Linked DNA regions of Oryctolagus cuniculus. The protein of the gene in region 1 interacts with the protein of each later gene in a pairwise test. Links are inferred from orthologs where the notes say so. Each region holds a gene or a part of one and is shown on either strand. Other genes may lie near its edges.

Region 1 (4,261 bases):
GGAGCCAGGATCTCCCACGTGGCTGCAAGGCCCCGGGCATCCTCCACTGCCTTCCCAGGCCACAGCAGAGAGCTGGACTGGAAGAGGAGCAGCTGGGACACGAAGTGGCGCCCATCTGGGATGCCGGCGCTGCAGGCCGTGGCTTTACCCGCTACGCCACAGCGCCAGCCCCAGTTTGCTTCTTTCTATAGCAGCAGATGGCCCCGATGTGATAAAGGGTGGAGGTCGAGCTGCAGGGAGCAGCTGTCACAGACGAACGGGGTGGGGGTGGGGGCGACCAGGGGATCCAGAATAGTCTGGCATCAATCTTTGTGACTCTGCCAACAGCGGGCTCTGCTTCTCCACCCTCCATTTTGGGGTGTATTTAGAAGTCACCCCACACCCTCACAGGTAGGCTCCCCCAGCCCTTATACCAGCCCTTGATGTGCAACTCATAACAGCACACACTGAGACAGGCACACACTGCCCTAAACATTTCATTTTATTTGAAAGGCAGAGAGAGAGTCCATCTGCTGGTTGTTCCCTAAACGTCCTCAACAGCCAGGGCTGGGCCAGGCTGAAGCCAGGAGCCAGGAACTCCATCTGGGTCTCCCACATGGGTGGCAGGGGCCCAGCTCAGCACGTGGGCATCCCCTGCTACCTCCGGGGTGTGCATTAGCAGGAAGCCAGAATCAAAAGCCGAGTAAGGACCGCAGCCCTGCATTCTAACGTGGGATGCAGCTAACACTGTTAGACATAAGCCCGCTACAGTAGTGGTCCCGGGCAGTGGGCACGGCGGCCCCCGATGTGCTTCAAGGTTGAGGAGAAGGCAATTCTGAACTTGGGGTCTGTGGCACAACCCACGCCTGGCAAGCATGCTTCTGACCCATGATCCTCAAGGCCACGGACCAGGCACGCTTGGCAGCCAGAGGGAGGTGCGGACGGGGGCTGGCATTGCGGCCACTTTCAGTGTCAGCCTCCCACTTCTGATCCAGCCCCCGGCTAATGCATCTGGGAGGGCCGTGGAAGTTACCCGAGTACTTGGGCCCCTGCACCCATGTGAGAGACCCCGATGGAGTTCCTGACTCCTGGCTCCAGCCGGGCCCAGCCCCAGCTGTTGTGGTCATTTGGGGAGTGAACCAGCGGATGGAAGACCTCGCTCGCTCTCGCTCTCCCTCCTTCCCTCCCTCCTCCTCCCTTCCTTTCACATAAATAAATCTTAACAAAAAAGGATGCAGACAGGGCTTGGGGTACCCTGAAGGTCACCGGACTTGGAGGGGCAGGAGCCACGGTGGTGTGTTAGGGGCGGGGAAGGGACAGGAGCCAGCCAGGAACAGTGTGGCCCTACCTTCTCCCCAAGCAGACATCAGCTCTCTGGAATTTGTCTAAATTTAGCAGGTGCCTGGGAAAGAGGCAGATAAGCAAAGCCAGGGAGGGGGAGGCCCCCATATATAGTGGGGAGGCCAGGACCCCACTCAGTCCGTCTCTGGGTGGCCCGTGCCTGCGTGGTGCCTGGTGTGACTTCTCTCACGATGCCGGAGCCGGGGAAGAAACCAGGTAGCTCCCAGCCTGGGGCTGGGTCTGAGTGGGGGGCTGGGGGCAGGGGGTGACTGCAATCGGGGGGCAGGACTGGGAGGGAGTTCTTGAGGGGTTAATGAGGATGAGGTCTCGGAGCTCCAGGGCACGGTAGGGGTCCCCCCAGGTCCCATTCTAAGTCTCCATTTCTATGCTCCAGTCCTCTGAAGACAGAGAAGGTGAACCCAGGATCAGGGCCCCAGAGCGAGGCGAGAACCCAGGCAGGGGGTTGCCAGCCCGCATCCCGGTCCCAGAGCACAGGGGGACCAAGCTCAGCCCAGACGTGAGCCAGGCTCAATGCATGCCCTTGGACCAGCCCCACCCGCCTTGTGCCTGTCTCCCCATCCACGCGGGAGGGCTGGGCTCGGCTCTGCCAGCTGATAGCCAATCCACCTCCTTAGCCTGCACCTGCGTGGCCCCCACGCCAGGCCTGGCCCACGCTGCGAGTGATGCAGTCCCTCTTCTCAGGGAGAAAACATACAAGTGGCTCCTGAGGCCGGGCCAAGGGCAGAGAGACCACAGAGCAGTGGCTAGGGCCTGAGCCCGGCCCTAACCAAGGCTGTCCTGGGCAGGCCCCCAGCCCCCCACCCCCAGCCACCTCCCAGGCCCGCTTTATCTCAGTTGTCCCTTGGAGGACAAATTTAGCCACATTCCACGTAAGCAGAGCACCTGCCCCTTGTCAAGGGCCCCAGACGGTGGGGGGATGGGGGTGGGGGCTGGGCTGAGCAGCCGTGTGCCCAGGCAGGGAGAGCAGAGTATTTAGGGAGCACACCTAGCAAAGTCTGGTGTGGAGGTTAGGACCACAGCCTTGGCTCCCCTGCCTACTGGCTGCGAGATCCTGGACAAACCACTCAACCTGTCTGAGCCTCAGTGTCCTCATCTGGGAAATGGACGTAATAAGGGCACCCACCTACCTCCTGGAGCTGCTGGAGAAGTCAGAGGTGCTGTGTGGAAGGACTTAATAAGAGAGGAGCAGGGGCAGGTGCACAAGCCGCAGGGGCCCCTGCAGCCTCCATCTGGCTCTCTAGCCTCAGCCTTCAGCAAGAAGCCGCGCTCGGCGGAAGTGGCCGCAGGCAGCGCCGCCGTGTTCGAAGCTGAGACCGAGCGGGCCGGGCTGAAGGTGCGCTGGCAGCGGGGAGGCAGTGACCTCAGTGCCAGTGACAAGTATGGCCTGGTGGCCGAGGGCACACGTCACACGCTGACGGTGCGGGACGCATGCCCTGCTGACCAAGGCTCCTATGCGGTCATCGCTGGCTCCTCCAAAGTCAAGTTTGACCTCAAGGTCATAGAGGCAGGTAAGACTCAGGTCAGCCCGATTTTTGGGGTTTGCAGTTCTTGGGGCAGAGGCGATCCTGCCGCTGCCTACCCGGCCCCCCCAAGGTACAGGAGGCGCTGTCACATGGCCTTGCCCAGAGACCCCTCCCTGGTTCTACAGCAAGACCTTCCTGCTTGAGCCGACCGATGGGCAGCTGGGGGGAGTTCAGAGATGGACAAGGCCTCCCAGGGCAGCCCCACACACAGATGGCCATGAGATGGGCCAGCTGTTCTCCCAAGGGAGCCCTCAGAGTGTGGGTGAGGAGGGAGCCCAGGGCAGCCTGGGGGAAGTGAGCAGGGCTGAACCGCAGAGCTGTTGAGAGCAGAGCAGGGATGCAGAGCCAGGAGGAGAGGCTGAGAGGGAGCAGTGCAGGCCGGGCCCCTGCTCAGCATGAGCCACAGCTCAGGGGCCCCGGGCCAGAGTGTGCGGACAGGGCCAGAGCGCTCTGGACATCCTCATTGAACCAGAGGCGTGCTCAAGAGTCATACTTGGGAGAGAGAGGGCGGAGGGGAGGGTCTCGGATTGGAAGCTCTGCCATGACTTCCCGCCTGGCCCCTCCAGAGAAGGCAGAGCCCGTGCCAGCCCCTGCACCTGCTGAGACCCCTGGAGCCCCCGGAGTAGCCCTGGCCCCAGCGCCCGAGCTGGAAGGCAGTGCCCCAAGTCTCGAAGGTGAGAGGGCTGGGCAGGTCAGGGCTGGCGGGTACAGGGGTGACCCTGGGTGGGTCTCAAAGGCCTTTGCTCATAGGGTCAAACTCAGCAGCTGCCGCCGGCCCTGCCCCTGGGTGCCCTGGGGCCCCTGATGACGCTATTGGGCTCTTTGTGATGCGGCCGCAGGACGGCGAAGTGACCGTGGGTGAGTGTGGGTTGCTGTGCAGAGGGTGGGGTGGGGAGGCAGGCGGCAGGGCACCCTCGAGCCCAGCTTGCTGCCCCTCTCCTGCAGGTGGCAGCATCACCTTCTCGGCCCGCGTGGCCGGGGCCAGCCTCCTGAAGCCACCCGTGGTCAAGTGGTTCAAGGGCAAGTGGGTGGACCTGAGCAGCAAGGTGGGCCAACACCTGCAGCTGCACGACAGCTACGACCGGACCAGCAAGGTGGGGCCTGCAAGGCATGGGGGTCTGGGGCACACAGGGGCCTCCAGTGTTGTAGGCAGAGCCGATCCGCTCAGGTGTGCAGGCTGTGCACTGCACAAAGTGCTTCTTAAATAGATGCCATCACACACTAGGGTGCGATTACAATCATGCACCAGCAGATGGCAGTCACGGGCCTTGAGACAGGACGAAGGCGGGTGGGGCATTGGCCACTCCCAGACTCTGCTAGGGGCCGTGTCCGCTGATACCTCATCCCCACAGGTCTACCTATTTGAGCTGCACATCACTGACGCCCAGGTGGCCTTC
Region 2 (3,217 bases), on another chromosome or scaffold:
AAAATGTCTGATTCCTGCTGCCTCACACATATTTTGAACATGCACAGTGGTCTTGATTTATTTAAAGTAGGATGTGACTGGACCGTGGCTTTTGTGTTTCATGCATATCAGGAAGACAAGTGAAGAATTAAAAGATTGAGAAACTAAACCAATTTATTTAAAATAGTCTTGGACTTTCTCATTACCAATATGTATGTGCTTTTCTGCAAAGTTACAAAAATGATTTGAATATCTGCTAAAGCAACAACTTTTGGTCATTTAGTCATTCATAGCCACTAATTTTAGTTGGCCGTTTCACTTCTTGATTATAGAGAATCAAACACGATTTACTTTTCAGATATGAAATATATTCACGATTCTGTTCCAAAGTATAAAAAAATTATCATTCTAACCCCCAGGTATATGTCCCACGGATTCATCTGATAAACTTATGGTTCCATAATATTACAATGTCAAAGCAAACACTGGCCCCACCTCATGCTTACCCCAAAAAGAAATAGAAGCTTCTGTAGGTTGCAAGTCCTGGCCTGGTTTATTTATAAAGCAATAAATATAAGAAGCACAAACAAACTCCACGTGTGTAAACAAACTGTACAATGATTGATGAGAGATGGGGCAGGGGGTGGCTCGGAAGACTCCAAGAAGCATAATACTGTCATCCTGAACACAGGGTAGACTAGGAGAGAAGGCACCTTAGAAGCATTTGCGGTGGACAATGGATGGTCCTGCCTCATCATACTCTTGCTTGCTTATCCACATCTGCTGGAAGGTGGACAGAGAAGCCAGGATAGAGCCCCCAATCCAGACAGAGTATTTACGCTCGGGGGGAGCAATAATCTGCAGAAAGAAAACAGAAACTTCCAGTGAACTCTGTAGTTCTAAGCAACATAACAAGTAATCTGTTGGGAAGAGTCACAGAAAAAATATTAGAAATTCATTCACTGTGATGTGAGATACTTCACTCCAAAAAATAATGTGGCCAATCAAGTGTTAGGAACTTTCCTCTATTTCATCATTTCCATTATTAAACATTCTACAAGGTAGAATTTCACCCACTTCTCTGAACTAGAGAATTGTATGACAGCAAGCTAAATGCAAGGATGGAGGTTACCCCAAAAGTTGGGGACTTCTAAAATGTTTAAAAGATTTAATTTTAAAAAAATATTTATTTTTAGTTGCTGCTTGAAAGCATTTAATTTAGAGTTTCCTATCTAGGGAAAAGTGCTAGAAAAAAAATCAGAAAAAGTTCTTTAAAAGGTAAAGGGTAAAGTCTATTGGAGACAGGGAGGTAAGTGTGAGGGTAAAGGAATTAGGAATGAAGTTCTGCTTCAGAAGTCAAGATCTGCCTTGTCTCTCCTCCCCACAAAAGTCTTTACCTTAATCTTCATGGTGCTGGGAGCCAAGGCAGTGATTTCCTTTTGCATTCGATCAGCAATACCAGGGTACATGGTGGTGCCTCCAGATAAGACATTGTTGGCATACAGGTCTTTGCGAATGTCAATGTCACACTTCATGATGCTATTGTAAGTAGTTTCATGAATGCCAGCAGATTCCATACCTAGAAGCAAGTTTATTAAAAAAAAAAAATCACAGTACATTTAACACATTTAGGGTGGAGGAGAGAGAACAGGACTTCTCTTTGTTGCTAAGCTGTCACCATTTGTCTCTGAAACATATGTTCCCCTATAAGACACACTGGGGGGAACAGGTGGAACAAGTGTCTTTTAAAAGTGCTGGCAGATGATCCTCAAAAGACTACCAAGAAACTAAAGCTCTGTTTAGCATTTATTTAGAGTGAATACCTTCTGTAACTATCAGATGTGTGGAGATGTATTGGAAAATGACAAAACATACAGTTAAATTAAAAATAAGGGAATTTTTAATTTTCAGATTAAATCAGAGCCTGACAAGTTTCCTCTTAGAATCATCTCTAAGGAAAGATATTTGATGACATACTAGCATCCACTTATTAGGAGAAGGATTGCCATTGCATTTGATGATGATTCACTTAAAAGGCAAATTCCGCTACTTGGTAATGGAACTTATTGGAATAAATCAACTCTATGAGTAATTGTTCCTTTCCTGCAGACACGTGATATTCTGTTACTACTCCGTCTTGTCCCTTATTTTGAGATGAAGTCAGTGTGCCATCCTTTATTATATCACTGGAGCAGAACACAGACTTTCCATTTAATGAGCCAGCCGTACTTGAGGCTGAGCTGTGTGAGACTCCATGCTACGACTTCTTTTAACTCATGGATCCTTAATCCCTACTAACTATAGGAGATTTTATTCTAGGAGACCCCACGATTTTCTGTGCCTCTGTCCTAAACCCAGCAACTCACCAATGAAGGAGGGCTGGAAGAGTGTCTCAGGGCAGCGGAAGCGCTCGTTGCCAATAGTGATGACTTGGCCGTCAGGCAGTTCATAGCTCTTCTCCAGGGAGGAGGAGGAGGCAGCTGTGGCCATCTCATTCTCAAAATCCAGGGCAACATAACACAGCTTCTCTTTAATGTCACGGACAATTTCACGTTCAGCTGCAGAAATAAAGGGCATCACTGTCAAGCTCTGAAGAAAGAGAGTCAATTGTGGGGAGGAAGGTGGATTCACTGAGGGAGGAAAAAAAAGCAGAGACATGCTGTGGCAGATGAGACACACACACACACACACTCACCAGTGGTGACAAAAGAGTAGCCACGCTCCGTGAGGATCTTCATGAGATAGTCAGTGAGATCCCGACCAGCCAGATCCAAACGCATGATGGCATGGGGCAAAGCATAGCCCTCATAGATGGGGACGTTGTGAGTTACACCATCCCCAGAGTCCAGAACAATGCCTGTCATGGGAAATGGAACAAGGGAAGTCCCTAAGGACCACTGCTTTTAGTCACGGCAAAGTCTGATTCTAGTCTTTACTGAGGGATACTAGTGCTGGCACGAATCCAAATAAATTAGATCTTTTACACAAGAATAACGAGAATAAGCATAAGTTGATACTAAAACTGAAGTCAACAGCAGCTCTTCCTTTTAAAGATTATAGTAGAAAAATGTCCCAAGGACACTTTCAAGTGACTATCCCTCTTATTAGCCATTAGCACATGATGCAAGCCTCCTGGGAAGATTTCTTAGTTTTCATCTAATGTACACCTGTCCCTCCCTTTCCAGATCCTGTAGAGAATCTTGGGGGTGTTTGCCCAGGGGATGAGACTGTGACTGCT

Evidence for each region.
Region 2: the proteins of MYBPC3 (region 1) and ACTC1 interact in a two-hybrid assay, tested with the Homo sapiens proteins (2 studies listed by IntAct). The link is inferred for Oryctolagus cuniculus from reciprocal best matches to the Homo sapiens genes MYBPC3 and ACTC1.

What each region holds. Positions count from the first base shown.
Region 1 is NC_091432.1:18,629,386-18,633,646, forward strand, and holds the start of MYBPC3 (myosin-binding protein C, cardiac-type), read left to right. Parts: upstream 1-1,428; 5' UTR 1,429-1,511; coding exon 1,512-1,536; intron 1,537-2,582; coding exon 2,583-2,849; intron 2,850-3,430; coding exon 3,431-3,538; intron 3,539-3,614; coding exon 3,615-3,722; intron 3,723-3,809; coding exon 3,810-3,958; intron 3,959-4,216; coding exon 4,217-4,261. UniProt on the Homo sapiens protein: Thick filament-associated protein located in the crossbridge region of vertebrate striated muscle a bands. In vitro it binds MHC, F-actin and native thin filaments, and modifies the activity of actin-activated myosin ATPase.
Region 2 is NC_091443.1:57,697,324-57,700,540, forward strand, and holds the end of ACTC1 (actin, alpha cardiac muscle 1), read right to left. Parts: intron 2,837-3,217; coding exon 2,675-2,836; intron 2,538-2,674; coding exon 2,346-2,537; intron 1,559-2,345; coding exon 1,377-1,558; intron 838-1,376; coding exon 694-837; 3' UTR 510-693; downstream 1-509. UniProt on the Homo sapiens protein: Actins are highly conserved proteins that are involved in various types of cell motility and are ubiquitously expressed in all eukaryotic cells.